Callithrix jacchus: one gene and its partners. The protein of the gene in region 3 binds, or shares a complex with, the protein of the main gene of each other region. Links are inferred from orthologs where the notes say so. Each region holds a gene or a part of one and is shown on either strand. Other genes may lie near its edges. The genes, in order: LSM3, SNRNP200, PRPF4, LSM6, LSM8, LSM2 and LSM7.

Region 1 (4,181 bases), on a different chromosome or scaffold from region 3:
GGGAGGAGGGGTCACTCTAGGCAGAAGGAACATCAAAGGAAAAGACTCAAGAAATAACTTGGCATATTTGAGGAAGAGAAAGGAGGCCAATAAGGTGGGTATCTGGCAAGGAAACAAGTGGTAGGAGAAACAGGAGAGGTAGCAAGAGCCAAAACATGTAGCATCTTGCAGGCCAGGTTAAGCCAACTGGATTTTAAGCTAAGAGCAATGGGAAGCCAAGGAGAGTTTAAAATAGGAACACGGCATGATTAAAAAAAGAAAAAAAAGATTATTTGGGTTGCTGGATGGAGAACTGGGAGGCCAATAAAGAGGAAACTGCAGTCACTCAACTGAAAGGTGATGGTGGCTTGGACAGGGGCCATGGCCATGGAAATGAAGTGGACAAATTTAAGATACAGTCCGAGGCTGAACTGACTGGATTTGCTGATGGACTGATGTGTGCACATAAGAAAAAGGCAGGCTTTGCTTTATAACAAGTACTGAGACTGGAAAAACGGAGGAAAGGATAGATTTAAAGGGGAAAACCATGAGCTCCGCTTTGCCTGTGACAAACATAAGAAGCCTATCCGATATTCACGTGGGGAAGTCAGGTGGGATCCCACTGTGGAACTCCGGGTGAGACTCCGCTTAAGTGACCATTCGGGAGTCACCACACTGCATCACTCTACGTCCTGGTCCGTCTGTCTGCCTTCCTGGGACCCAAATAACTGCCTTCTCCACTTTCAGCCCTGAGCATCTGCGCTGTATCCTCTGGGCAACCCGGAGCGGAAAAACGCTACGCATGAGCTTGGGTCGGGCGAGGCTCCCGAGGAATCGCTCTGCGTGCGGAGGACAAAGGGACAGGGACAGAGCGGAGGGCCGGACGCGGCCTGCCGAGCTGCTCCCGCGGCCGCCGTCACGTCCCCGCGGCGTGGAAGACGCGCAGTAAACTGCATCCTGTCTCCACGTCTGGCCTCCCACCCCAGCCTCCCGGCCTCCTCCGCCCTGCTGCGGCGTCTCCCGCTAAGCCCGCTGGGCCTCGCTCTCACCCTCCTCCTCCTCCTCACGCCGGGCCTTGCTCTTGCCCTTGGACTTCTGGCTGCGCGGTTGGCGTCCCCGCGGCTCCCCGCCGGCCGCGCGCTTCCGAGCCATGTTGTTCTTCGGGGCAAAATCCACTTCGTGAGTGACGCACCTGGCCGCTGTGCACCAGAGCGCGGGCTCCGCCCACAGGCGGGCGCGTCTAGCCCTGTCCCTTAGTTGGAGGCCTAGCCACGCCCCCGAAGGAAGCTCCGGCGATACCCGTGGCCACCAAAAACCACAGGAAGCAGGAAGGAGAAAAACAGATTTCTCTCTACTTCCGGTGTATTATATCCTCCTGTTTCCGGAGATCCGCGTTGCTCTTGTGTTCTCGCGAGAAGCGGGAAAGAGCGCAGGGTTTGAAACATGGCGGACGACGTAGACCAGGTGAGTGTACTTTAAGGGGGTCGCTTCGAGCAGCTTCGCGTACTAGGGCTGGTTTTCCCAAACTTAGGAAAAATGGCCAGTCGTGTCTCCTCCTTCCAGGTCACCATGGTCCAATCCGCCCCGTCCTTTCCGTAACCGCCCCCTGCTCCGAATTTTGCTGCAGGCCCTGAGATCTTTTCCGGTTAGAAGCCCACCTGACTACTATTCATCACACTCTTCAATTCATTTTTTTAAATCTGTAAATTATTATCCTTGCCTGCCTCACGGAGCTGTTAGGATTCCAATAGAAAGCCTGATGATGAAGTTAGAAGTTCATATCATTACTGAGCGCAACCATTATTTATTCATTTAGCATATTTAGTGAAATTCAGCTTTGTATGGTTAGACACTATTCTAAGGGCCAGGGACACTGACATCGACATAGAAGTGATCCCTGCCATTACTTGGAGCTTATATTCGTGAGGAGAACAGATAAAAGTAAATATAAATATGTAGGAGACATAGGAACTGTGATGTGATGTGAAGGAAACAAGGAACTAGTTTGCAGAATAACAGATGGCCCTAGAAGCTTTTTCACCTTGTCTTTCTCTTCCTCAAATATCTTTGGAGATCAAGCCACAAATTCTTAAGCTTTCTACTGAAATCTCACCTCCTCAGAGAGGACTTCTCCTGCGCCAGTAGCACACGCTTTACTCTTCTTACCCTGCTTCATTTTTCTTCAGAGCGCATTATTATTTCGTATTAAATATATGCATCTGTTTTTAATGTATAACCCTTCCCACTAGAATTTAAGTGCCATAAGAGCAGGTTTTTTGTTTTGTTCTTTCTTCTGTCCTTAGGGTTTAGAACAGTGCTGGAAACACTCAACAAATATTTACTTAATGAGGCCTCTTTGAAAAGTCAATATTTAAAGCTACAGTGGGCATCGTAGACAGAGGCTTAGGTAGCAGTAGGGTTCTGTCGTGTGCATATTTTGACAGTATTTAATTATTTATTTGTATGCCTCTCCACATTACAATGAGCTCCTTGAGAGTGGAGATTGTGACTTCTATATCGTTATAATCTAACAGTTGGTTATCTGATCCTTTAACAAACACCTGTTGAACTAGGGAAGTAGGGATCAGTCGAGTCAGGGTTTTGTTTTTTCTCTCATCTGACCTTTTGAAGCTTTAGAGCCTGTTGCATTCAGTCACCTTCCTCCACTGGCCTCATGTACTTAATGAAGATCTACTTGAATAGTCTTTCTCTTAATGGCTGCAACCATTCGACCCCAAGTCATCCTAGCCCTGACCTCTAAAACCGACGTTTCCAGCAGTTCTTTAATAATACTAATAGGAACCATTTCTTTTCTTTTTCCTTTTTTTTTTTTTTGGACAGAATCTCACTCTGTCATCCAGGCTGGAGTGCAGTGGCACAATAGATCTCAGCTCACAGCAACTTCCACCTCCTCAAGCGATTCTCCTATCTCAGCCTCCCGAGTAGTTGGGACTACAGGCGCGTGCCACCATGCCTGGCTAATTTTTCTGGTTTTTTTTTTTTTTTTTTTTTTTTTTTGAGACGGAGTTTCGCTCTTGTTACCCAGGCTGGAGTGCAATGGCGCGATCTCAGCTCACCGCAACCTCCGCCTCCTGGGATCAGGCAATTCTCCTGCCTCAGCCTCCCGAGTAGCTGGGAATACAGGCACGCGCCACCATGCCTGTAAGTTTTTGTATTTTTAGTAGAGACGGGGTTTCACCATGTTGACCAGAATGGTCTCAATCTCTTGACCTCGTGATCCACCCGCCTCGGCCTCCCAAAGTGCTGGGATTACAGGCGTGAGCCACCGCTCCCGGCCAATTTTTCTGTTTTTAGTAGAGATGGGGTTTCGCCATGTTGGCCAGGCTGGTCTCAACTCCTGACCTCAGGTGATCCGCCTGTCTCAGCCTCCCAAAGTACTGGGATTCAGGCGTGAGCCACCATGCCCAGCCAGTAGGAACCGTTTATTACTATTTTCTGTTTACCTGGCACTGTTGTAAATACATTAACTACTTTAAACTTCTCAAGAACCCAGAAGGAAGGTTGTGGCCTCCTCAATTACAAATGAAGAATCAGAATTACAGATGGCATGATTTTTAATCTTAGTTCATTAGAGTCAGGTCACAGCCAGGAGTTGAACCCAGACTGCCTGACTCCAAAACCAGTGCTTTCTTTTTTCAAGACAGAGTCTCACTCTGTTGCCAAAGCTGGAGTGCAGTAGCACGATCTTGGCTCACTGCAACCTCCGACTCCTAGGCTCAAGCCATCCTCCCCCCTCAGCCTCTGAATAGCTGGGACCACAGGCATGTGCCACTGTGCCTGGCTAAGCCAGTGCTTTCAACCAGCGTTTTATACTGTCTACTAAATATATTCATCTTACTGGCCAGTTGGCAGCCTAAACTCAACCTGTGCTAAATTCATAATCTTCCCATTAACCTACACCTCTACTTAGCATTCTGACTAGTGTATGGTAGACATTGAGTGAGTGTTTTTCCAACGATTACATAATATTTGAGATAAAGCTAAAGTCCCTGAGAGCCCATACCCTGAAATTGGGTCAGGCAGTTTGATTTTGAGGGAACAAAGAATAGTCATGATTATTTTGCTGTGTAACTCCTTTTTGTGTATGTGTGTTTTAACCTACATTTATGTAGCACATATTATATGAAAGGCACTGTTCTAAGCCGTCATAGATATCACTTAAGCCTCACAACAACAGTATT
Region 2 (3,500 bases), on a different chromosome or scaffold from region 3:
CTTGAGCAGATGTTTTTGTGGGATTGCCAGGATTTTGTTCCCAGGCAATCTCTTTGCATAACTCTCCATTAAAGGTCAGACCAAGGCCGGGCATGGTGGCTCAAGCCTGTAATCCCAGCACTTTGGGAGGCCGAGGCGGATGGATCACAAGGTCAAGAGATTGAGACCATCCTGGTCAACATGGTGAAACCCGGTCTCTACTAAAAATACAAAAAATGAGCTGGGCATGGTGGCGTGTGCCTGTAATCCCAGCTACTCAGTAGGCTGAGGCAGGAGAATTGCCTGAACCCATGAGGCGGAGGTTGTAGTGAGCCAAGATCACACCATTGCACTCCAGCCTGGGTAATGAGAGCGAAACTCCATCTCAAAAAAAAAAAAAAAAAAAGGTCAGACCAGATGTCAATTTTGTCACCCCAGGCTCAAAATCAGAATGGAAAAATTCTGTTGCAGCTTTCAGTCTTGAAATAAACTATATAAGAGACAAGGCTACATTCTGGTCAATGGTTGAAATCCAAACCAGGAAGTGAACTGAAGAAAGCAATGCACTTACTTCTTCTGAGCCAAAGGGCTTGGGCTTCAGGGCAGGCACATGCACTTCTTCATAGCCCTTACGCTGGCGACGGAAGGATCCATCAGGAAGCTGACAGCGTTTATTGGCCATAAAGTGGCTCCCTTGGGTAAAAACCAGGTCCTCCAAGTCCAGAACCTGTCGTGGAGCCAGTGCCTGGGAATGTGAAAGACAAAAATGCAAAGGAGGTGAGCAAGCTGAGCAAGTGAGTTTTCCATCCATCGAGATCTGGGAAATAAATCGCCCTGGATCCTACCTCTCCACCCTGGTCAAGATCCATGGTTTCCAGATCTGTGTCCATTCGAGACTGTCGCACTCGCTCTCTCCGAGACCTTTCCTCCTGTGGTGGAGAAAGATAAAAATCACAGAAACAATTCATCAGTATCATAGATTCTTGTCCTTTTCTGTCCCTGCTTAGCCATACTTGAGTCACAGGTGCTGACTAGTAAGTCTGCAAACAGAAAGACAACGCTTTACCTGGGGACCACCAGAGTGATCAAAGCAAACAAACACATTTAAAGGGACAATGCACAGTAAGATGTTGCCAGAAATAGACATTCTATAATTAAGAATTGAGGCTGCCCCTGAGGGGTAGAAACGTGGGTTCTGTTGAGCAAGCACATGTATTCTGTTACTCTATTTAGTAAACACCACGTGTTTACTGTGTAAATAAACAATAAAGGTCCTCTTGGTGCTGGTGAAAGACAGCAGCAGATCACTGCTCTCACAACCAAACCAACTGAGGATATGCTGATTTTAACGTGTATGTACTGATAAACCCCAAATAATTTAGAAAAATCACTTTTTCAACTTCCACTTTTAATACGAATTTAGCTTCATGCTGCAATCTTCTAGCCACTGTTAGCTGAGAAATCAGACAGATAAACCAACCCAATCCTTACTCGGATCAGATCCTCCTTCTCTGTTTCGTGAAGTTGGTAGAGGAACTTAGACAGCTCTGGGTCAGCTTCCATCTTTCCCATGATCCTTTCCTTTTCAGCTTCACTTTGTGCACTGGCCAGTAAGGTACAGTATAAAACTACCCGCAACAAAAGGAAGAAAGGAACAGTGAGGAGGAAGAAATGCAAAAATCAACCTTCATTCTTAAGGTAGAAGAAGAAAAATAAAAGAAACAAGCACAAAAGCTGTGAAAACAAGAATCTCTGTCTCACATATGCACACATATGTACCTACTCTGCAGGAAGAGCCGATCATATACTCACTCATCATCCTGTGCTGCCGCAGCACTTTAATGAAATCAAAGGTGTTGAAACCAAGCAGCAGTACCAGCTGGTTCTCACACTCCCGATCATCACTGGCCGTCTGCAGAGAGAAGGTAACACCACCATTAAGGACAAAGCCATCTGCCACTTCATACGCTGTCCCCATGTGCTAAGACATAGTAAACATACAACTATTGTTATCTTGGCCATACCTTCAAAATCTCCAGTACTTCATCTGCCTTCTTCTGTGACACGATGGCATCATCATAGAAACGACTGAGCTGCCGCTGTAGCCAAAATGCATCAATATCCCGAGGGTGCAAATCCTTCTTCTTGGAACTCATCAGTTCACCTGAGGCTACGAGCTATATAAGTAAGTAGGCATTTAGCTCACTAAGTCTCTGCCAGCCTCGATCACTTTCCCACCACCCTGCATCCAAGTTCTTCTTGCCACCCTACAAGCCCACCTTCTTTTGAGGACTTTCCAGAAGGAAACACTCTGGAATATTGAGTTCAGAAGCACATCAGACCAAGATTTTATCAACATACATATTTGGGAAGGAAGAAAACCAACTGAAATCTTAAGAAACTCTAGACATTGTTTATTACACGTCAGTCTAGCAAAAGGTGGCTCAATAAATGCAATAGGACCCAAGCATGAAGCAGAAGTACTAACACTCAGAAGTAACCTGGCCTTGCAGCAATAAGAAAGAGCAAATTGAACTTACATTAGCTGAGAGGGTGCAGCGTACAACAGCCTCGTCCCCTTCCATGTCATCATCAGATGCCTCCTCTCGGACCTCCCCGTACACATCTTCATCACCTTCCTGTGGAAATGGCCCCAACTCAACCATGATCTGGAGCTGATTCTGCATCACCACAGAACCTCTCCTTCAAGTTACCCTAAATTAGCTCGATAGTTAGAGAAATGGCTTTGGGGTGAAACCAAGAGCCTACTGGAACCAAGGTCAGCCTTATCCCAGTGGACACACAATAGAATGGCTGCTTGGCACAGACTTATTAGATGCATCTACTTTCTATTTCTTACCTTAGGCTGCTACAATGGCAATCAAATGGATCATAGCCTCTCTCTGACACACACAATCAATACTCAAAACCAGCAAATAACTAACGAGAGAGAAGAGCTCTACAGAGGCATGCCTGGGAAAGCAGATGGTGACTAGGAATGAAGAGACCACACTTAGCCCGCTCACCACTCTATTCACTCATATGCTGCAGTAGGCATATTTGGCACAGTGTCACAGTCAAAGCAGGTACTTCAATAATGAGCACTGTTACATGAATGAACTGCTAAATGCAAAGCAGTTCGGTGCTACTTAAAATCCTCAAATCCTATTAACTACACTGTAGGAAGAGGCCTAGCAATCACCTAATGAAATCGCCTCATTTTATAGAAGGAGAAACTGAGGCAAGACGACCTGCCAAGATATAGGACTAAAATTCAGAAGTCTTGGCTCCTAGTCCAGTGCTTTCCTCTGACTCTCCCTGTGCGATCCCTTCTTCCAGCCCTGGTATATAGTCCAGGCTTCATTTTCTCTTTCAGGAGCCAAATCTACCGAGAACTCCAAGGCACTCCGTAATGTTTTCAAAGCACCCCACTTATTCCTATTTAGTTATATTCAAGAAATTCTATTAGACGGTAGGTATTAACCCCAGTGACTTAAACAACCATGTATGGGCTGGGCGTG
Region 3 (4,149 bases):
TAAGAGTACAGAACATCTTTTGCAAATGAGTTATAGGCTGTCATCCAGAAGATGTAACAGAAACATTATTGTAACAGTGGCCAAAAATATTTATTCTCTAAAGCAGTCCCAGTATAGGAATACTTAACAAATAATTAACTAGTAAACTGGAAATAATTACACTGTAAATGAGTTTCACAACAATAAGGATTTCTGGATAATCTAGCAATAGTTTTGAAACCCACACCAAAATACAAGTGTGATAAAAAATGAGAGGTACAGTGGTGATGTTCTGTTTAAAAACAACATAAAAAGTTAAAAAAGTTGGCCAGGCGCGGTGACTCATGCCTGTAATCCCAGCACTTTGGGAGGCTAAGGTGGGCAGATCATGAGGTCTGGAGACAGAGATCATCCTGGCTAACATGGTGAAACCTTGTCTCTACTAAAAATACAAAAAGTTAGCTGGGCATGGTGGCACGTGCCTGTAGTCCTAGCTACTGGGGAGGCTGAGACAGGGGAATTGCTTGAATCAGGGAGACGGAGGTTGCAGTGAGCCGAGATTGTGTCACTGAACTCCAGCCTGGGTGACAGAGCAAGACCCCATCTCAAAAAAAAAAAAAAAAAAAAAAAAAGAGTTTAAAAAGTCATTAGGCTATAGTGCATGTGTTTAGAAAAGAAAATGTGTAAGAGGATCACTGAGAAACTTGATTGATGCCCTACTGCACAGGAGTCTTCACTTTATGCACTTTGGTATTGTCTGGATTTCTTATGACAAATAGGCATCATTGTATTTAAAATATATAGTGGACCTCACATTACTGACATGGAAAGATATCCTCAATGGTATATAAAATGAAAAATGCAGGTTATTCAACAATTTATATATATCATGTCTTCATTTAGAGAAAAAATTACCTATTTTTATATCTGTATTAAAATTCTCAGAGAGATATACAACCAATTAATTAAAATATACAGGATTTTCTACTTCACACACTCATATGTTGTTTCACCTATTAAAAGAAAAATAACAATTACTTTTTTTTTTGAGATAGGGTCTTGCTGTGTTATCCAGGCTGGAGTGCAGTGGCACAATCATGGCTCACTGCAGTCTCAACCTCCCACTTCAGAACCCCAATTGGCCGGGAACACACGCATGTGTCATGCCTGGCTAATTTTCTACTTTTTGTAGAGATGGGGTATCACTATTTGCCCAAGCTGGTGTTGAATTCCTGGGCTCAAGCCATCCTCCCACGTCTCAGCCTCCCAAAGTGCTGGAATTACAGGTGTGAGCCACTGGGCTTGGCCACGATTACTTTTATAACAAAAAAAGAGATCTCAGCCAGGTGTGATTGCTCACATCTCTAATACCAGCACTTTGGGAGGCCGAGGTGGGTGGATCATGAGGTCAGAAGTTGGAGACCAGACTGGGCAATATGGTGAAACCCCATCTCTACTCAAAATACAAAAATTAGCTGGGTGTGGTCGTGCATTCCTGTAATCCCAGCTACTCAGGAGGCTGAGGCAGGAGAACTGCTTGAATCAGGGAGACGGAGGTTGCAGGGAGACGGAGGTTGCAGCGAGCCGAGATCGCGACACTACTCCAGCCTGGGTGACAGGGCGAGACTCTAGCTCAAAAAAAAAAAAAAAGAATTGAAATTTTTTTACATTATAAAACTGGTGATATTTAAGTTTAGGAAGGTATTCATTACATCAAGAGGTAAAGATGAACTCACAACTTGCATCTTACCAGAGGTTATATTAATATTTCCAGCTTCGATTCCTGCTTTAAGTCCTTCTTTCCCCAAAATCCCAGATTCTCCTTTGGCCAGACGCTCCCTCTCCTTCTCTTCCAAACTTCCATAATAGATATGTGGCTTCTTCACAACCGGAGCAACTAAGTCATCAGGTGCTTTAGTTTTGGTTGCCTGCTAAATCAAAAATCTGACTTAAACTAACGCTTAATCTTAACAATTTGCTGGACTTCCCCAGAGGATGAAGCTCACCCTGAGTTTCACAGTCCTACTTCCTCTGTAATTGAAAGGACAAATTGGACACTGCTTAAGATGTTCTTCATTGATTTGAGGAGATGAGGGTAGGGGGAGGGTGTTTCAGTCCCTCACTTTGGTTGACAGGATTGATAAAACTAGTGAGGTTCTCTCGGGTATTTTTCTATCAAGGGTTTGCTCTGCAATCTGTTTACTTCATTCTGTTGGAAGTGTGCAATCTCGTGTTTTACGATGCTTCCAGGGTTACTGCTCATCACTGGGGAAGTACCAAATATAGATGAAATAACTAACGCGGTGCTAAAGAAGAACAAGTTACAAGATTACTAGCGTATATATTTCAAACGTTTCTAGACCTGAGGCAGTAGGAGTTAGTAGGTCTCATTAAAGTTCTGAGATCTGCCAAAGGCATCAATCTTGGCCAAGACACTTCCCTATTTCAGAGCACCGTTACTGGATCAGTCCGAAGAGATGTTTGCCCTTCAGGGATGTAGTCGGAGAGGTGCAAATAAGCTATAGTCCACGAAAGCGCTTAGGGATCAGGAAAACGGTGCTCGGCTGTCTAGGACACGGAGTCCCACAGCCTTCCTCCTCGGCCCTCCACCGCCTTCTCCCGTTCCCTAACGGCCCCTTCCCGCAAGGACCCCCTTCCCCCTTCGCGCTTCCTGCCAGAGTGAGCTGAGATCCCGGGCTCTGTACCGTGGAGGAAGCTCGCGAGGAAGCCATGCCGGGCTCTGGAGAAAAGCTACAGCGAAACCTGAGGTCTCCGATTCAGATCGTCCACCGCGCGCCCAGCAGAGCGGATGAGCATCACCGATCGGAAGTGCGTCACCGACCGGACGTGTGCCGAGAGCCGTAGCCGCGCCCGGAGCGGCGCGGAGCATGATGGAAGTCGTAGTAGGAAGCGGTGTGATCGTATTGAGGGGCATGCCTCCTAGAACATCGGAGAAAGCTCGCGCAAGACGAGATTCTGCTGAGAGAGAGGCTCCAAGTAGTCTGGGAAGTGTAGTCCAGTTGGCTTACCAATAGTTTCACTGGGGGAGCGGAGGTTCCGGGAAGGGGCTGAACAGGCTTGAAAAGAGGTAGGTGCGTTGCGTCGCGCGGCTCGGGGCTGAACTCTGGAGCGAGTCGAGGACTTCCGGGGTCCGCCGTGCCACCCGGGCCTACCGGAGCGTTTAAGTCTTCCTGGAGCTGAAGACCTTGTTACCATGGAAATCCTCGCCAGGGATCCGAGGTACAGGCTTGGAGCTAGGGGACAAGGGCTGTTTTTCTCCACAATCCGGAAGTCTTCTTAGGGGCCCCCTCTGAGCTTGATGGCTCCGCGGTGGATTTAGGCTGCTAGAAGAGCTCCCTAGTGCCAAAGTCAAATAAAGACCCGGCGGAAGAGCTTCGGCCTGACTTTGTTGATTTGTCTAGAGCCGGTCGTTGTATCAGATTGAGAGTAAGATGATGGATAGGAAGGTGTCAGATAGCTCTGTACGTCCCTGTGCCCTGCTGGATGCTGGGGAATTAGAGACAAACAAGGTAAGTTTTTTTTTTTCTTTTGAGACGGAGTCTTACTGTCGCTCAGTCTGGGAGCGCAGTGGCGCGATCTCGGCTCACTGCAACCTTCGGTCCACCCCGACCCCGGGTCAAGCGATTCTCCTGCCTCAGCCTCCCGATTAGGTGGGATTACCGCCACCGGCCACCGCGCCCGGCTAATTTTTGTATTTTTAGTAGAGACGGAGTTTCACCATCTTGGCCAGAGTGATCTTAAACTCCTGACCTCGCGATCCACCCGTCTCGGCCTCCCAAAGTGCTGGGATTACAGGAGCGAGCCACCACACCCGGCCAGGATAAGGCTTTTATCTCCACGTGGGAGGTGGATGATTCTCAAAACATTGAGGTTTCCCTAGCTGGCCAGATCCCCATCCAACCCCCTAGAAAAATTACAGTAATAATAGATTTTATTTATTGCACATTTTTAAAATGCCAAGTTATGTTCCAAGAGCTTACTCTTTACTCTGCATTATATTATTCACCAACAATAGCAGAGTCAGATACAGATGAGGAAACTAAGGTCTAGTGAGAGATGAAACTAATTATTCAAGATCAGTGGTGTAGTGGGATTAACCTCTACAGCCACACTATTAACTGTTACTCTATACTTCTTCCTAGTGGAGAG
Region 4 (4,184 bases), on a different chromosome or scaffold from region 3:
CCACCCCGTATGTCAAGCCGGCCCCATACCCAGCTACTCCCTTTGGAGAAGATTGCAGCTGCTCCTCAGATGAACGAGGCCTTTAAACTCCTCATGGCTCCCTACCCACCACACCAGTGTTAATCGCTCCATCAGGGGTCTGTAGGAAAGGGAAAGAAATTTGAATCAAAAACTTACTGTTTTTTGAATAATTGAAACAACCAGTAGGGAGTGTGCAATTTGATGTCTTTTGCAAAGAATGTTTTTAGGGACAGGGCTTTTTATCCTATCATGTTTGTTCTTTGCAACTAATTATTTAATTTTAATGGCACTTTTCTTAAAATTTTTATTTACATTATATTTTATATTGCAAGAACTTCAAATACAGCCCTCTTAATAAGTCTGTAACGGTTTTGTCTTTACCCAAACTGAGCTTTTGTAGAAGGATATAAGGAAGTCTCTATTCTTTACCAAATCACATCCAGTTGCTTTCTGTCCCTGATACCAAGGGTTCATTTCTTCTGCCTTTAGCCAAAAGAGGGATACAAGGGAGAAACTCTTTATCTTAGAAAAACATTCTGCATCTTAGATTTTATAACACTTAATGGAGTTAAGGATCTGTGTTGGAAGATCTTATCACTTTGTGTATAGTGTTACAAATCATAAATAAAATAAAGTATAAGTTTTCAGCTGATGAAAGTATGTGACAGGGAAAAAGGAACCAAGTCCTGGTGTGACTGTTCTCTTCTTTTTCCTCTCCAATCCTATTAATAGCAAGAGTATTGAGAATTCATGCAAAATTCCAAACCAAGTTCCCACAGGTAGCACTTAGCTAATGTCTGCACACCATTTTCAATTGGAACTAGTTTATAATGTAACACAATTAACGTCATTATAATTCGGAGTTACTTGAGTGGTTTTAATTATTTTCGTATCAATTAACATTGCCATGGAAACAGTCTCTTGCTAAAATGGCTTAAGTCTTCACACATTTAATCAATATCCAGAGGCAGATTTAAAGACTTGAGGTGTTTGTTTTATTTATTTGTTTGCTTTAAACTATTCAAGGACGTTTCTGGGTACACACGGCAGTTACTTAAAACTGTAAATTCCAGTTTTCTATGACTTCAAGTTATTTTTTACACTGCAAATAAATCCTGCCCAAAAGATCACTTCTAGCTTTCTGGATTTTTGTTTTTGTTTTGTATTGAATTGTATTTGTGTTGTATCCGGATTTCTGTTAGAGGAATTCCTTTGCACCAATTTCGCCACTGGACAAACCAACCAGGATTCTTGGATTTGAGCGCTTTGGCGCGGACCGGCCTTTTCGGCCCCAGCGGGCTGCCGTAGCAGAGAAGAACACTGATTGGCTGAGGCAGAAAAGTACCGCTGCCTCGCCGGTTTCGGTTTCGATTCGATGAAGTCCGCGGAGCCCGGGCTCTTGGGGCACCTGTAGTGAGGATTTTGGATCCCGCCGACGAGGTGAGCCGCGTGGCTGCGCGAGCCGAGCAGCCTCGGAAACGGCCTGCGGGGAGCGGGCTGGGGCTCCGGGGAGGGACTGCTGGGTGGTGGGTCCCCGCGAAATGCCGCTTCCAAGCTCTGTGTGCACGTAATGGCCGGGAGTGATCTGTTGGTGGGCGCCTGGAACCGCCGTCAGCGAGGCGTCTACACTGCGCCGAGAGGAGCGGCACCGTCCCGGCTGGCGTCGATTTGGCGTTCGAGACTGCACGAAGTTGTTCGGAGGTTATCGAAATTCCCCAAGGGAACCCCAGCGCTAATCCCAGGATTCGGCGGGAAAGCGGATCCCGAATCTAGGCCTAGGCTTTGCCTGGATTCTTCCAGGCTTCAGAGAATTGCGAAGCCTACCCTACATCGGAGTGGCTGCGCCTAACCACAGGAATTAAGGACTGGACTAACCTGAATTACCGAGTTGTCTAGTCGGGGAACCCCTTGTATGGTCTTAAGTCCTATCGCCAGAGGTTTTCTATGTGTCCGCGTTTGTGCCCCGGCGCGTGAATAGCGGGCATTTTTGTTTAAGGTGTGTAGGATTAGGATGATTGGAATTACCCCACCCTACTGCTCTTAGTAATACGTGACTGTTGTAGAAAAATTGCAAACATAGAAGACTTTAGTGAAGAAAATAATATTCGCTGAACCCTTTCACCTGCCATCTTTTTCTCCTGTATGTACCAGCGTCTACTTGGACTAGGACTGTTCATGTTTAATTACTTAACAGTGTAGTTTTCCAGTTCCATTTAAAAACTCTTCCTAAATATTATTCTAATTTTGTATCTTCTTTTGAGTGGCTGGCCCATCATTGTGGATCCCAGTGTAGGTCCCATAAATTATTCAGTCATTTCCCGACTGTGGGACATTTGGTTGTTTTTGAATTTTTGCATCATCTTAGCATCCCAGATCATATTTTGATAAACATTTCCCCCCCATCCTGTAGATTATTTCCTTGGACTAGATTCTCAGAAGTGAAATTATCAGATAGATGCTGTCATCCATAAGGTCTTTAGGCTTTCATGCACATTGCTGCAGTGTTTTCCAAAAAAGTTTTAGAGGTGGTTGGCAGTTTTACTTGCTTGAATATTGTGCAGAAATCTTGAGAGGCTTATGTCTGTAGTGTGTATCACTGGAGTTAACTGCAGTAGACTGCCTGAATGTTAGAGCAGGAAGAGACCTAAGTGGTCATCTAGCAAAGCCCCCTTATTTTGCAGATGAGGAACCTGGGGCCATGAGAGGTGAGATGAGTTATCCAAGTCACACAGCCAATTAAGTAGCAGAGCTGGGATTAGAACTGAGGTTTCCTGCCTCCCAAGTGAGTACTCTGTGCTGCATCAGGCAGCCTCTCACTGAACTGTGGCATAGTAGATATTAGAATTTAAAAATATGTTTACATCACTTGGATTATTCTCTTTTTTAAAAGTGTACTAACAGATTTTAATCATCAGAGGGATCTTTAGTACTGAAAAATTGTAAAGTGATCATTTTCATGGCCAAGGCTAGAAATCCGTTATTTAGAATGGCAACCCCTTCAAGGCTTTGACAGTTGTTTTCAGATTCTCTATATGTTAGAATAAAAAAAAAATCCCTGATAAATTATAATCTACACTCCATCATTTGGTTAGATGTAGGTGTTGGTTCTCATTTGCTATATTTGGGAGATTTCTTTAAAACTCCTCACTTTAAGGCCAAAGAACAATGTTGCTGGTTTTTAAATTTTTTTTATTTTAGGGCTTATAGCAGAGATTCTCAACTTCCATGGACTTTTTGGCCTGGACGCATTTGTTGTGGAGGGCCGTCCTGTGCATTGTAAAATGTTTAGCAGCATCCCTGGTCTGTACTCACTAGTATAGTAGTAGCACCACCTTCCTCAGTCATGAGAGTTCATGGTGTCCCCAGATATTTCCAGCTGTCCCTGAGCATGGTGGGGGAGGACAGGGGGGATTGCCCCTAGTTGAGAACCATTTGCTTATAGAAATTATCTGGAGAACTTTATAATGTAATGTATAGTGCCTTTGCCTCAGTAGATTCAGGAATTTGCATTTTAACAAGCATCTCTAGATTTGGATACAGCTGGTTCTTGAATGACAGAAACAGTTGTTTTCTCCGTCTTTGGTGCTCATTATAGAGATTACTTGATTAGTATTTGTTGAAGTACACACTTGATATTACTAGTCACTGTACCCATAGTTTGGGCTGGTGGGGGCTGGACAGGAATTTTGCTTGACACTGGCTTTGAATGTCACTTCCACAGACTTGGACAGTATGCTTAGATACCAGGGTTACCAAGTGAGTGAGATATTTTCCCTGTCCCCAAGAAGCTTAAAATTCACTGTGGGAGATCAGTCAGCAAATGGAAACATTACAAAACGGCCTGATAAGGGCCACGACTGAGAGTGGAAAGAGGTGCTTTCAGTGGACTAACTTCGCCTTTGGAAGAGAGGGAGAGAAGAGGCCCCAGCTGCTCGGGAAGGAGGGATTGTCTTCAAAAGACAGCCCGGCTCTCCACTGTGTCAGAGGGAGGAATTTAGAGAGCTGTCCTCGGTGTCTGATTGCCTCGTCAGACACTGCTATCTTAGTATCACGCTGCAATTACTTGGGTTCTAATGTTGTTTCCTTGCAATTTTTGCTTTTCAATTTTTTCCACGCTAAACTGTTAAGTACTCTAGAGTAGGTAAAAACTTACAGGTAAACAT
Region 5 (3,500 bases), on a different chromosome or scaffold from region 3:
AATTGTTCAAATGAAAGATTTCATAAACATTTTTCAAACTTTTGCCTTGGACTCTAGAAATATGTTCCTCTAAAATTCTGGGTATTTTTAAGAACATTTTAAGAAACCTCTTTAATGAAGTATTTAATATAAGGCAGGGCCCTTTCTGGACTCTATCCAGGCTACTTATTTAACTAGTGGAAAAATGGGCAAATCTCAGGTAAATGTTTGATTTGTAGAGATAGCTTTGGTTGAAACCTGAAGAAATGTTGACATAAAATGTATAGATTTGCCTTACTTTATGCAAATATAAGAAAAGCCATATTTATAAAAGAAATGAATGCAAGATTCTATTAACTATGTATAGATAATACAGTAGACTATTCTGGGTAAAACCTCTTCTCCATAAATCAAGGGAGTATCATTTATAATTTTAACAGATATATTTTACTTACACATTGTCACCTCTTACAATGTATAATCCTAGTACTACTTGCTCTACTCCCTGTGAAGAGCTGAATACTCGTTCATGGCTTTCATCCAAAATCAAATTAATGGTCTGGTCAAAACCTTTTAGTGTTCCCTGTAAAGAAAATATCCAGGAGAAAAAGAGAAATATTCTGGTTTACCTGAAAGTGTAAATTCAACCTCACAATCATTTTAGTTATTAGTTACTCCAATATAAGTACCTATACAATGTCAAATAAAATGCCTTTTTTATAACTAACAGTATTCGAGGATACAAAATTGACCCCTTGGCTGTTTGGCTGGGGTGGAGGGATCTGCACCACACATCTCACTCATTTGCAGAGCTGATGACAGTTACAAAGGACACCTAGGTACTAGTGTATTTCCAAGTAAGTAGCATAAAAGCTCATGTAGTCCGACAGCCAAAGGTATATACTAAAACAAAGGAGATTTAAAATAAAATGATAGGTAACTCTATATAAATAAGGAAGAATCATACATACCAACTACAGTAATGTAACAGTATCACTGTATACTACATACTAGCACTAGGTATTGTGCTAGACACATTGTACATATTGTCGCAACTCATCTCTACCCTTTAATACTATAATTATTCCCATTTCAAAGAAGAAACTGAGGCACAGAGTGGTGTCTCTTATGGTCACATGGGCAGTAAGTAGCAGAGCCAGGAGATGAACCACGAAAGGCTAGCTCCTGAGCCAGACCACTAAACCATTACCTTCTACTATTATACACAAGTAAATATAATTTGCCATTTTTCAGAGAATCAAATCAGTCCCATAAATACATAAAAAATTTAACTAGTAGTTACGGGTAACACCTAATGAGTTCTTACTAGTTACCAGAGTTCTGTGTGTCTCACAGGTATTATTTAATGCATAACAAATACATTTATTATTTAATTCTCCCAGTAGATACAAATGTGACTAAACTAATTAGAACAAGAATTTGAAGGAAATAATCAGGGAAGGTTTTATGAAAGCTTAGTTTTGAATAAAAAAAGACATGGGTCTAGCACAACAGATTAACTCAGATGGTATCCAAGTTTCTGAAGAAGTATCAACTAACATTGATTTTAATTGGTTAAATCTCTCAAGCTACTAAACTTTTATCTTCTGAAAACCAAAATATATAAAATGAGAATGAAATAAAAAGAAAACTATAATTTGGAAGAGAAAATATGAAGTCTTTCTTGAACTATTTAACAAATGGTTATCATAAACACCCATTCATAACCTCCTGGCTTCATTTTACACATAACTATCCCATCAAATAAACTATGTGTCAAAGAAAAAAGAACTATTGAACTTTAGAACTTAAGATGCTCTTTTTATATTGCTTTCCTTTTTTAAAATTAAAAATGATTTCCCAGTTTATTATCTACTATGTTAACAAAAATTAGAAAATTTAAAGTTAAGGTTTTCACAAAATTAAAAAAATTGAAAATATCTATTAATAGCAATAGGCTTCTTGAAGTGTTGCGATTAAAATATGTCAAACTGTCCGTATTTGAAAAAATACAATGTGAGGCACCTAAGAAAACATGATTTTAACAGATATAATTTTAAGAAAGAAGCCAGGCAATTTGCCTTGGCTTTGATGTCAAACCAAATTTAAATCCCAGTTCAGTTCTGTCACCTGCTATCCTTGTGACTCTGGGAAAGTATCTCACCTTCTCTGAGCTTGTTTCCTAATCTAGAATAGAGGGGTACTTATTCTTCACAAGGTTGTGCTGTACATTAAATAATGTAGCACATATGCACCTGGCACATGATATAAATTTAGTAAATGACAAAGCTAGAACCTTGACTATTAACAGTCACTAAGGACCCACTGAGGGGAAAAAATCGCAAGGCTTAAAAAGAAAATGAACAAAAACAAAATTGCAGAATGGAAAAATAGGGGATTAAATTATTTAAGAAACTAGGTAAGGTTAGAAAACAGAGAAAGTTTAGTAGCCTTAAAATTCTTTCAAAAGAATTAAGTGTATTAATTGTAAGTGAAGAAATAAGCAAGCACCCAAATATCTTGAGATAAATTCCTCAAATGAAATTCCAAATACAAGTATTGCCATAGGAATGTTTTATCTTTGTTAGATGACATAAATTAGCAAGGGAGAAACAACTTTAAGAAACAAGCCAATTGAACATATATATGTGTATATAGAGAGTCAATCATCAAGTGTCCTATAGAAGACATGTCATACAACCTAAAAGCAAACAGTATTAAGATTGCATACAAGCCTTAAACGTTGATAGGTAGGTATCAATAGTATCTAAATCACAAAAAAGTTCCTAAATGTATGCAAAATTTCAAAAAATTCTGATTCATGTAGTACTGAATGGGGAAGAAAATAAAAATGGAAGAGGGAGATAAGTAGGTTTAATACATGTCTGCAGACTAGGAGCTCTCTGATGGCAGAATCTATTATTCTAGCTCCTAGAAGCCTTGTAGGTAAGACACAAGGTTTACTAAGGAAAATGTGGATTGACAGCAAAGTGATAGTTAAATAATAAAACTGCACTACCAGTGTAATGTGGCGTCTAGGCATTAGAGATCAGAGGTTTCACATAAAACCTGCAACCCATAAACGTACAGGAAAGCAGAGAATGAAAATTTGGAAGACTTACCACAATCATTCTCCCGTCAGATGTAATAACAGCAACAGTTCCTGATAACTGAATCAAGGAAAGTGTTTCTTAGGGAATACAATCTGAAAACAGACTCTGGCAAGGTAATGATTTGAATTATTAGAAGATATACAACAATTAGGTAAAAGTGATCAACATAGCCACTAAGTTCACTACATAAAAACGTTACAAGTTTTTGGGACGCCAAGGCAGGAAGATCCAAGATGACTGGTCGCTAACAGCTCAGGATTGTAGCTCCCAGTGAAAGCACGGAGAATGAGAGGACACCACACTTTCAGATGAATTTTCGTCACTCACGGACCAGAAGATTCCCAGTGAAGGAGCCCTACGGGTCGCCAGCGTGACTCTTGTGGCCGGCGCAGCAGTTTTGCCGGCGCC
Region 6 (4,142 bases), on a different chromosome or scaffold from region 3:
GCGTGCCTATAATCCCAGCTACTCAGGAGGCTGAGGCAGCAGAATTGCCTGAACCCAGGAGGTGGAGGTTGTGGTGAGCCGAGATAATGTCATTGCACTCCAGCCTGGGTAACAAGAACGAAACTCCGTCTCAAAAAAAAAAAAAAAATTCTCAAGTATTTAAAACCCAGTGTCTGGGCCGTGCAAGGTGGCTCATGCCTGTAATCCCAGCACTTAGGGGTGATGAGGCGGGTGGATCATTTGGGGTCTGGAGTTTGTGACAAGCCTGGCCAACATGGTGAAACCTCATCTCTACAAAAAATACAAAAATTAACTGGGCATTGTGGCAGGCAGCTATAATCCTACCTACTCGGGGAGGCTGAGACAAGAGAATCACTTGAACTCGGGAGGCTGAGGTTGCAGTGAGCCGATAAGAGTAGTGTTACTGCACTCCAGCCTGGGCAACAGAGTCAGACTCTTGTCTCAAAAAAAATAAAAATAAAAAAAATAAAGGATAAACAGAAAACTAATGCCTGCACTGCTTTTAAATCTCCTCCCACTTGTATCTTTTATTTTAATCTTATTTCAGGACTTAGACTAAATGCTGTATTTTTGAGAGACTTCTCCCTGTCCTTCTAGCCCCGTAGAACCTTCTATCAGAGAGTCTATATTCTTCCTAATGGGTGCTTCTCATTTTGTAGAAATAACATTTGCTGTTTATGGCCTGTTCTTTTTTTGTTTTGAGATGGGAGTCTCACTCTGTCGCCAGGCTGGAGTGCAGTGGTGCAATCTTGGCTCACTGCAACCTCCACCTCCCGGGTTCAAATGATTCTCCTGCTTCTGCCTCCCTAGTAACTGGGACTACAGGTGCGGGCCACCACGCCCAGCTAATTTTTGTATTTTTAGTAGAGACAAGGTTTCACTATATAGGCCAGAATGATCTAGATCTCTTGACCTCGTGATCCTCCCACCTCAGCCTCCCAAAGTGCTAGGATTACAAGTGTAAGCCACTGTGCACCATGCCCATCCTATGGCCTGTTCTTTTTTGAGACACAGTCTCCCTCTGTCACCCAGGCTGGAGTAAAGTGGTATAATCATGGCTTGCTGTAGCCTCGACTTCCTGGGTTCAAGTGATCATCCCACCTCAGGCTGGGATTAGTCCCTAATAACTGGGACTACAGACATGCATCACTACACCTGGCTAATTTTTAAATTTTTTGTAGAAATAGAGGTCTCACTATGTTGCCCAGGCTAGTCTCAAACTCCTGGACTCAAGTGATCTTCCTATCTCAGCCTCCCAAAGCACTGAGGTTACAGGTGTGAGCCACCATGACCAGCCTAGTATTTACTTTTTTTTTTTTTTCCCAGATGGAGTCTCACTCTATCATCCAGGCTGGAGTGCAGTGGCACAATCTCAGCTCACCGCCATCTCTGCCACCTAGGTTCAAGCGATTCTCCTGCCTCAGTCTCCTGAGTAGCTGGAATCACAGGCGCCTGACACCACACCTGGCTTATTTTTGCATTTTTAGTAGAGACAGGGTTTCACCATCTTGGTCTGGCTGGTCTTGAACTCCTGACCTCGTGGTGACCACCCATCACGGCCTCCCAAAGGCTGGGCTTACAGGTATGAGTCACCTCGCCCAACCCGAGAGCCAGGGAGCCTGGCTACTAGTACTTACTCTTTAAACTATATAATGCTTTGTATTGTTTTCCAATACACAGCATAATCCCAAGCTTATCTGTAAATTTAAGGCACAAGGCACTTATTTTTAAATTTTTCTTAGAGATGGGGTCTTGCTCTATTGCCTGGGCTAGAGTGCAATGGAGTAATCATTGCTCACTGCAGCCTCAAACTCCTGGGCTCAAGCGATCCTCCCTCCTCAGCCTCCCAAAGTGCTGGAATTACAGTACTGAGCCACTGAGCCCTACCCATTTATTTCTTCCTTATATCTTCCACCTCTCCCAGCCTTCAAATAGTTCTCAAATTAAAGAGGTTCCAGGGCGTTGGGCACACCCACCCCCAACAGACTTGTTGGAACAGGTACCTACCTCAGGTCATTCTTGAGTTCCACGACCACATCCTTGCCCACAAGGGACTTGAAAAAAGAATAGAAGAGCTATTGGGTGAGAGGGGGAAAACCATCATGTGGGAAGGAACATGGTAGGGAGGAGTGTCCCTTGCCAGTATTACCAAACACTGGTATTGTGAACCCCACTGCATCTCTGACAGTTCTCAAAACTTCACAGGAAAGAATAATCGGCTGACAGAGGTGAAAGGCTGGAGCCTATATTATTCCACACACTGCATTGAGCCCATCACTTAAAGTTCCAGAGAGGCTCTGCCCTGCATACGTCGGCCCAAGTGTGCTCTCTCAGTCGGCCACCTTCCTGGGGTCCCTGCCCACTCCTTTCAATGAACTGCAGAAAATATCCCACCCCCACCCGCCGGAAGCCTGCTTGGTCTCCGGCAGATTAAGTGCTCTAAGGTCTAACTTTTCTGTCTCCCGCTGTCCCCATTGACTCTCTCTCAGGGTTGAGTTTTTTTAACCTCCCATGGAAAAAAAAAAAATTCCCATTTGCTTTCAGGTATCTCCTCAACGAACTTGAGGCACAAGACTAAGGACCTAAAACTCCAGCCCAGGGGGACAAAGGCCAGACTCCCCGCCCCAACCGTCCGAGCTCCCCGAGGGCACCACCTTTTGACTTCACAGTACCCACCATGGTTTTGGCGCCGCGGGCAGCGGGCCGGACCGGGAAAAGATCAGGCTGCCGCCAGCAGGTCTGGGGAAACCGAAGCGGGAGCCCGCGCGTGGGGCGAGGCGGGGCCGCGCAGGCGCAGCGTGAAAGGACGTAGACAGCTCCAAGCACTGAAGGGGAGAGCGCGGCCGACTTGTGGCTGGGGAGAGCACTCTGGGTAGAACCGAAGGGAGGAGGAAGCCGGGAAAGGGGCGGGGTTCCTGCATTCCGACTTCCTCCCGGGCTGGCCGGCTCCCATTGCGCACGCGCGGACCCGGGCCTGGGCTGCTGGGCGGGTGGCGGGACTCAGCTCCTCAACTCAAAGGATACTGTTCTTTTCCAGGATCCTGTCGTCCATAGCGTCAAGTCCTCCTGATTTACACACACTCCTAATCGAGAATTGTGGGGAGTTTGTGAAGATTATGAAGTATGCACTTTTCTATATTGGTTAAAACCATAAAATGTAAAAGTTTTGAATCTTTTTTTTTTTTTAATTTTTTATTGGATTTTAGGTTTTAAGGTACATGAGCAGAACATGCAAGACAGTTGCGTAGGTACACACATGGCAGTGTGCTTTGCTTTCCTTCTCCCCTTCATCCACATTTGGCATTTCTCCCCAGGCTATCCCTCCCCACCTCCCCCTCCCACTGGCCCTACCCTTTTCCCCCCAATAGACCCCAGTGTTTAGTACTCCCCTTTCTGTGTCCATGTGTTCTCATTTTTCATCACCCGCCTATGAGTGAGAATATGCGGTGTTTCATTTTCTGTTCTTGTGTCTGTTTGCTGAGGATGATGTTCTCCAGATTCAAACGACACAAACTCATAATTTCTGATTGCTGCATAATATTCCATGGTGTATATGTGCCACATTTTTCCAATCCAGTCTATTATCAATGGGCATTTGGGTTGATTCCAGGTCTTTGCTATTGTAAACAGTGCTGCAATGAACATTCATGTACATGTGTCCTTAGAGTAGAACGATTTATAGTCCTTTGGATATATACCCAGTAATGGGATTGCTGGGTCAAATGGAATTTCTATTTCTAGATCCTTGAGGAATCGCCACACTGTCTTCCACAATGGTTGAACTAATTTACACTCCCACCAACAGTGTAAAAGTGTTCCTTTTTCTCCACATCCTCTCCAGCATCTGTTGTCTCCAGATTTTTTAATGATCGCCATTCTAACTGGCGTGAGATGGTATCTCAATGTGGTTTTGATTTGCATCTCTCTGATGACCAGTGACGATGAGCATTTTTTCATATAAGTGTTTTGAATCTTAAATTAAGTTGAAAAAAAGAAAAAAGGGCCAGAGGCGGTGGCTCACGCCTGTAAGTAATCCCAGTACTTTTGAGAGGCCGAGGCGGGTGGATTATGAGGTCAGAAGTTCAAGAGCAGCCTGGCCAAAATGGTGAAAACCTGTCTCT
Region 7 (4,289 bases), on a different chromosome or scaffold from region 3:
GCAGTGACCTCTGCCATCTGATCCTGCTCCCCAGTGTCTGGTGATTGGCCCATCCTCCCTGCCTGGGACGCCTCACCCCTCCCCTGCAGGCTCCTCCGGCCCAGGCCTCTCCTGCCGAGGATGCACTTTTGCGCTCTCTGAGGGGCTTCCCAGTGGCTGCCCCACCCTACTTCTCACCCCTGCCACCTCTCAGGTGCTTTCTCCAGACACCAACCCACCCACACCTCTTAGGGTGCTGCCCACTGTACCATCCCCCAATCCCAGGAAGCAGGCACCCTGGGCATTATTCTGTCTGCCTGAAAGGCGGGGCCTAGTGAGCTGGCCCACGGCCGCTCCGCGCACACCCAGGGCAGCCATGTGCAGGGAGGGGTGCGGGGTGAGGGTCTGCAAACCATGACCCTCAGGCCAACCTGGCCCGCTGCCCATCCCGTAGTGAAAGTCCCAGGGCCCAGCACCACACGCGCCGCTCCCGCTCCAGCGCTGACCACGGCAGGTCTCCCGCTCTCCCCGCATAGCTCACTGGTTTCAGAGACCATCTGGGATGCAAAGCTGAAGGTATTTGCCGACCAGCCTTTGCCTACAGAGAAGGTCTGACTGCCCAGGCTTGGGCCCCCCTCCCCAGCTCGCTCTCTGTGCTCTCAAGTTCCTCTCCTGCAAAATGAAACTCATCACCACCGGGGGCGGTGGCTCACGCCTGTAATCCCAGCACTTTGGGAGGCCGAGGCGGGTGGATCACGAGGTCAAGAGATCGAGACCATCCCGGTCAACATGGTGAAACCCCGTCTCTACTAAAAATACAAAAATTAGCTGGGCATGGTGGCGCGTGCCTGTAATCCCAGCTACTCGGGAGGCTGAGGCAGGAGAATTGCCTGAACCCAGGAGGCGGAGGTTGCGGTGAGCCGAGATCGCGCCATTGCACTCCAGCCTGGGTGACAAGAGCACAAACTCCGTCTCAAAAAAAAAAAAAAAGAAACTCATCACCTACACAATGGGGCCAGACACATCTGTTCAGGTGCCCAGCACTGGCCTGACCAGAGTCCCCTCTCAAGGGGACAGACGTGAGCACCGAGGCAGGTGGGTGCACCCAAGGTTCCTCTCCCCTGGAGAGCTAGGTTCGGAATCCCCACCCCTGGGGCATGTGACTGACTGGACAAGACGTCACTCTTGCAGTCAGGTGACGTGAGGAAGACAAGGAACTCTGCAGCTGTGATTGAAGCCCGGGAACCAGCAGACTGTAAGCCAATCTGGAGGGAAACAGCCTGGGTGGGCCTGAGGGCATCAGGTGAGCCCTTCAGGAACCAGACCTTTCTGCTTTTTTTTTTTTTTTTTTTTGGAGACAAAGTCTAGTTCTATCATCCTGGTTGGAGTGCAGTGGCATGATCTCCGCCTCTCATGCGCAAGCGATTCTCCTGCCTCAGCCTCCCCAGTGGCTGGGACTACAGGCATGTGCCACTATGCCTGGTTGATTTTTGAGTTTTTAGTAGAGACGGGGCTCTGCCATGTTGGCCAGGCTGGTCTCAAACTCCTGAACTCAAGTGATCTGGCGCCTCAGCCTCCCAAAATGCTGGGATTACAGGCGCCTACCACCACACCCAGCCAATTTTTGTATTTTTAGTAGAGACAGGGTTTCACCGTATTGGCCAGGCTTGTCTCGAACTCCTGAGCTCCTGATCTGCTTGCATCAGCCTCTCAAAGTGCTGGGATTACAGGTGTGGGCCACTGCGCCCACCCTGTCTGAGGCTGTTTAGGTTGTCGCGACTTGGTGGAGGCCAGGGATACTGCTCAGCACCCTGCAGTGCCCAGGTACGGCCCCAACCCAGAGAATGATCCGGCCCCAAATGTGTCCACACTGTTGGTGCCGGGAGAGATCTTGACATGGGTGGGGGAGAAACAGAAGCCGGGAGATCTGTGGGGAGCTGGGGCAGCCCTTGGACACACAGGACTGCTCAGAAGGCCAACCCTGAAATCCCAATCCCTGCTATGCCACTGTGACTTTGGGTTCCGTCTGTTTCCCGCCCCGTGCCTCAGTTTCCTTGCATGCAAAATGGGCATACCAGTTCCTACCTCCCGGTGTAAGTAGGAATACCGCATAAGGTAGTCTAAAGAGGGGCCTGCGAGGCCAGGCGCGGTGGGTCACGCCTGTAATCCCGGTACTTTGGGAGGCCGAGGAGGGAGAATCAATTAAGGTCAGGAGTTCGAGACCAGGCTGGCCAACATGGTGAAACCCCCGTCTCTACTAGAAACACAAAAATTAGCCGGGCGTGGTGGCCGGCGCCTGTAATCCCAGCTAATCGGGAGGCCGAGGCAGGAGAATCGCTTGAACCCGGGAGGCGGTGGTCGCAGTGAGCCGAGATCGCGCCATTGCACTCCAGCCTGGGCATCAGACCGAGACTCGGTCTCAAAAAAAGAAAAAAAAAAAAAGAAAAGAATAAATAAAAGCGGCGCCTCCGCATGCATGCGTCCTCATCATCGCTCTTCCTGGGTTTATTTCAGAATTTTAAAGGCGAGGTGCCGACGGCGGGAGCCTCCTCACCTTCGCGGCCTCCCTGGAACTTCACCCGGATCGTCTTGTCGATGTACTTGGACAAGTCCAAGATGCTCTCCTTTTTCTTCTTCTCCTTATCCTGCGGGGAAAGCAGAGCGCGTGAGGCGCGCAGCGCGGCCCGAGCCCCACGCCCCCAGCTCCGGATCCCGCCGCGCGCTCACCGCCATCTTGCCGCGCCGCGCCGCTCTGCGCAGGCGCCACCCCGCGCCCTTTGACCCCCTCCCGGCTTCGCAGGCGCATGCGCGGCGCATGCGTGGCCCGGGGTCTCGCGGCGTTGCTGGGAAACATCTGTCGACGGTTGCGGTGGGCACCGGCCGACATGGCGGCGGCGACGGCGGCTGCGCTGGCGCGGCTTGTGGCGCCCTTTCTGCTCCTCGCGGCCCAGGTGAGCGCGGCGTTGGTTCCGACGGCCCCGCAGGCTACGGCTTCTGGGCCTCTCGGCCCCCGGGCTACGCCCAGGAACGACCCAGGTCGTCTCCGGGGGTTCCAGCCTCGGGGATCCGCGGTCACCGCGCCGTTGGCCGGCGGTGCCGGGGCCTGGCCGTGACCTTGCGGGGCTGTCCCCGGCTCGTCTCCCGTCCCTGCCTCGGAGGCCCTGCGCCGCCGCAGCGCCCCTCACTTCCTACCGGGTCTGAAGCTTGTGCCCACTCCATCCCTCCGTTCTGCTTGTCCTCTTCGGGGTCTCCAGCCGCCGCCGGGGTCGCCTGTCTCTGGCTCTGTGGCCTTGGGCAGGCGGCTGCCCACCCCGCGCCGAGCCTCAGTTTCCCCGTAGGCGGAACGGGCGGGGTGCTGGCTAGCCTCACCCTAGGGGGTGCCGTGGGGAACCCAGAGGCGTCCCGCGCGTCCCCGAGTGTCTGGCAGCGCCCTGGAGTGGCCAAGAGCCCAGCCCTGCTCTGGGGCTGCATCCCTGCTCCATCTTTTAGTCTGTGACCTTGGACAAGGGAATCCCCTGCTTGGAGCGTCAGCTGCTCGTCCGCAGGAAGGCTGAGGATGGTGTGGATTCTGGAGATGATGCCCAGGGTGACCAGCGCCCAGGGCCAGCACGCCCTCGTTATGTTAATCGTGTGTCGTTTGCTGCAAAGCATCTCAGGTTCTCGTGGGGACAGTCTACGAGATAGCACTGCCCTAACTGCGTTTTTTATTTTCTTATTTCCAAATCTTCCCTCTCTCCTGACTTTAGGAGCGCAGCCCTACAAATGCGGCCCTTAACCTTGACTCCTCTCTCCGAGTTCTCACTCTTAAGGCGTCGCTGCCACCGGCGCTCTCTCAGCCCCACTCCTCCAGCTCCGCCGTCCTCCCCCTGCTGTGGCTGCCTTTGTCCCCCATGTCCCCAGTCCAGCCTCGACACAGCAGGAGTGACCCTGTCACATCCAGATGAGTGTGTCCGTGCATTTGTGACCTGGCTATCAGAAGCCTGCAGTGGGCTCCCTGGCCGTTTCTCTTACCCTGGAAGCCCTCCGCAGAAGCTTTCTAACAACCCCACCCCCTGCTGCTCTTTCGGCCCCCTGGACGTCCCCCCATTTTGCAGCCAGGGACCTACAACTCCCCAGACGTTTGGAAGGAGGGAAGAACCAGAGGTGGAAGGAAGGTTCCCTCCTGGAGTTTGCCTGGAAAGGGTTTTCCAAAGCAGGTGTGTGTGTGTGTGTGTGTGTGTGTGTGTGTGTTTTGAGAGGGAGTCTTGCTCTGTCGCCCAGGCTGGAGTGCAGTGGTGCCATCTCAGCTCAGTGCAACCTCCACCTCCCAG

The links.
Region 1: PRPF4 (region 3) and LSM3 share a complex: the UniProt entries of both Homo sapiens proteins name them as parts of the precatalytic spliceosome. The link is inferred for Callithrix jacchus from reciprocal best matches to the Homo sapiens genes PRPF4 and LSM3.
Region 2: PRPF4 (region 3) and SNRNP200 share a complex: the UniProt entries of both Homo sapiens proteins name them as parts of the U4/U6-U5 tri-snRNP complex. The link is inferred for Callithrix jacchus from reciprocal best matches to the Homo sapiens genes PRPF4 and SNRNP200.
Region 4: PRPF4 (region 3) and LSM6 share a complex: the UniProt entries of both Homo sapiens proteins name them as parts of the precatalytic spliceosome. The link is inferred for Callithrix jacchus from reciprocal best matches to the Homo sapiens genes PRPF4 and LSM6.
Region 5: PRPF4 (region 3) and LSM8 share a complex: the UniProt entries of both Homo sapiens proteins name them as parts of the precatalytic spliceosome. The link is inferred for Callithrix jacchus from reciprocal best matches to the Homo sapiens genes PRPF4 and LSM8.
Region 6: PRPF4 (region 3) and LSM2 share a complex: the UniProt entries of both Homo sapiens proteins name them as parts of the precatalytic spliceosome. The link is inferred for Callithrix jacchus from reciprocal best matches to the Homo sapiens genes PRPF4 and LSM2.
Region 7: PRPF4 (region 3) and LSM7 share a complex: the UniProt entries of both Homo sapiens proteins name them as parts of the precatalytic spliceosome. The link is inferred for Callithrix jacchus from reciprocal best matches to the Homo sapiens genes PRPF4 and LSM7.

What each region holds. Positions count from the first base shown.
Region 1 is NC_133516.1:71,157,568-71,161,748, forward strand, and holds the start of LSM3 (U6 snRNA-associated Sm-like protein LSm3), read left to right. Parts: upstream 1-1,381; 5' UTR 1,382-1,422; coding exon 1,423-1,443; intron 1,444-4,181. Other genes in the region: XPC (DNA repair protein complementing XP-C cells), read right to left, coding at 1,029-1,131. UniProt on the Homo sapiens protein: Plays a role in pre-mRNA splicing as component of the U4/U6-U5 tri-snRNP complex that is involved in spliceosome assembly, and as component of the precatalytic spliceosome (spliceosome B complex).
Region 2 is NC_133515.1:6,142,603-6,146,102, forward strand, and holds part of SNRNP200 (U5 small nuclear ribonucleoprotein 200 kDa helicase), read right to left. Parts: intron 2,619-3,500; coding exon 2,520-2,618; intron 2,157-2,519; coding exon 2,004-2,156; intron 1,892-2,003; coding exon 1,792-1,891; intron 1,608-1,791; coding exon 1,471-1,607; intron 909-1,470; coding exon 825-908; intron 725-824; coding exon 551-724; intron 1-550. UniProt on the Homo sapiens protein: Catalyzes the ATP-dependent unwinding of U4/U6 RNA duplices, an essential step in the assembly of a catalytically active spliceosome. Plays a role in pre-mRNA splicing as a core component of precatalytic, catalytic and postcatalytic spliceosomal complexes.
Region 3 is NC_133502.1:161,587,893-161,592,041, reverse strand, and holds the start of PRPF4 (U4/U6 small nuclear ribonucleoprotein Prp4), read right to left. Parts: upstream 2,801-4,149; 5' UTR 2,712-2,800; coding exon 2,685-2,711; intron 1,911-2,684; coding exon 1,730-1,910; intron 1-1,729. UniProt on the Homo sapiens protein: Plays a role in pre-mRNA splicing as component of the U4/U6-U5 tri-snRNP complex that is involved in spliceosome assembly, and as component of the precatalytic spliceosome (spliceosome B complex).
Region 4 is NC_133504.1:50,820,501-50,824,684, reverse strand, and holds the start of LSM6 (U6 snRNA-associated Sm-like protein LSm6), read left to right. Parts: upstream 1-1,384; 5' UTR 1,385-2,017; intron 2,018-4,184. UniProt on the Homo sapiens protein: Plays a role in pre-mRNA splicing as component of the U4/U6-U5 tri-snRNP complex that is involved in spliceosome assembly, and as component of the precatalytic spliceosome (spliceosome B complex).
Region 5 is NC_133512.1:88,804,829-88,808,328, reverse strand, and holds part of LSM8 (LSM8 homolog, U6 small nuclear RNA associated), read right to left. Parts: intron 3,143-3,500; coding exon 3,102-3,142; intron 563-3,101; coding exon 435-562; intron 1-434. UniProt on the Homo sapiens protein: Plays a role in pre-mRNA splicing as component of the U4/U6-U5 tri-snRNP complex that is involved in spliceosome assembly, and as component of the precatalytic spliceosome (spliceosome B complex).
Region 6 is NC_133505.1:39,306,746-39,310,887, forward strand, and holds the start of LSM2 (U6 snRNA-associated Sm-like protein LSm2), read right to left. Parts: upstream 2,801-4,142; 5' UTR 2,701-2,800; coding exon 2,698-2,700; exon of another isoform or gene 2,566-2,697; intron 2,097-2,565; coding exon 2,029-2,096; intron 1-2,028. UniProt on the Homo sapiens protein: Plays a role in pre-mRNA splicing as component of the U4/U6-U5 tri-snRNP complex that is involved in spliceosome assembly, and as component of the precatalytic spliceosome (spliceosome B complex).
Region 7 is NC_133523.1:2,193,180-2,197,468, forward strand, and holds the start of LSM7 (U6 snRNA-associated Sm-like protein LSm7), read right to left. Parts: upstream 2,801-4,289; 5' UTR 2,797-2,800; coding exon 2,707-2,796; intron 2,625-2,706; coding exon 2,534-2,624; intron 1-2,533. Other genes in the region: SPPL2B (signal peptide peptidase-like 2B), read left to right, coding at 2,865-2,930. UniProt on the Homo sapiens protein: Plays a role in pre-mRNA splicing as component of the U4/U6-U5 tri-snRNP complex that is involved in spliceosome assembly, and as component of the precatalytic spliceosome (spliceosome B complex).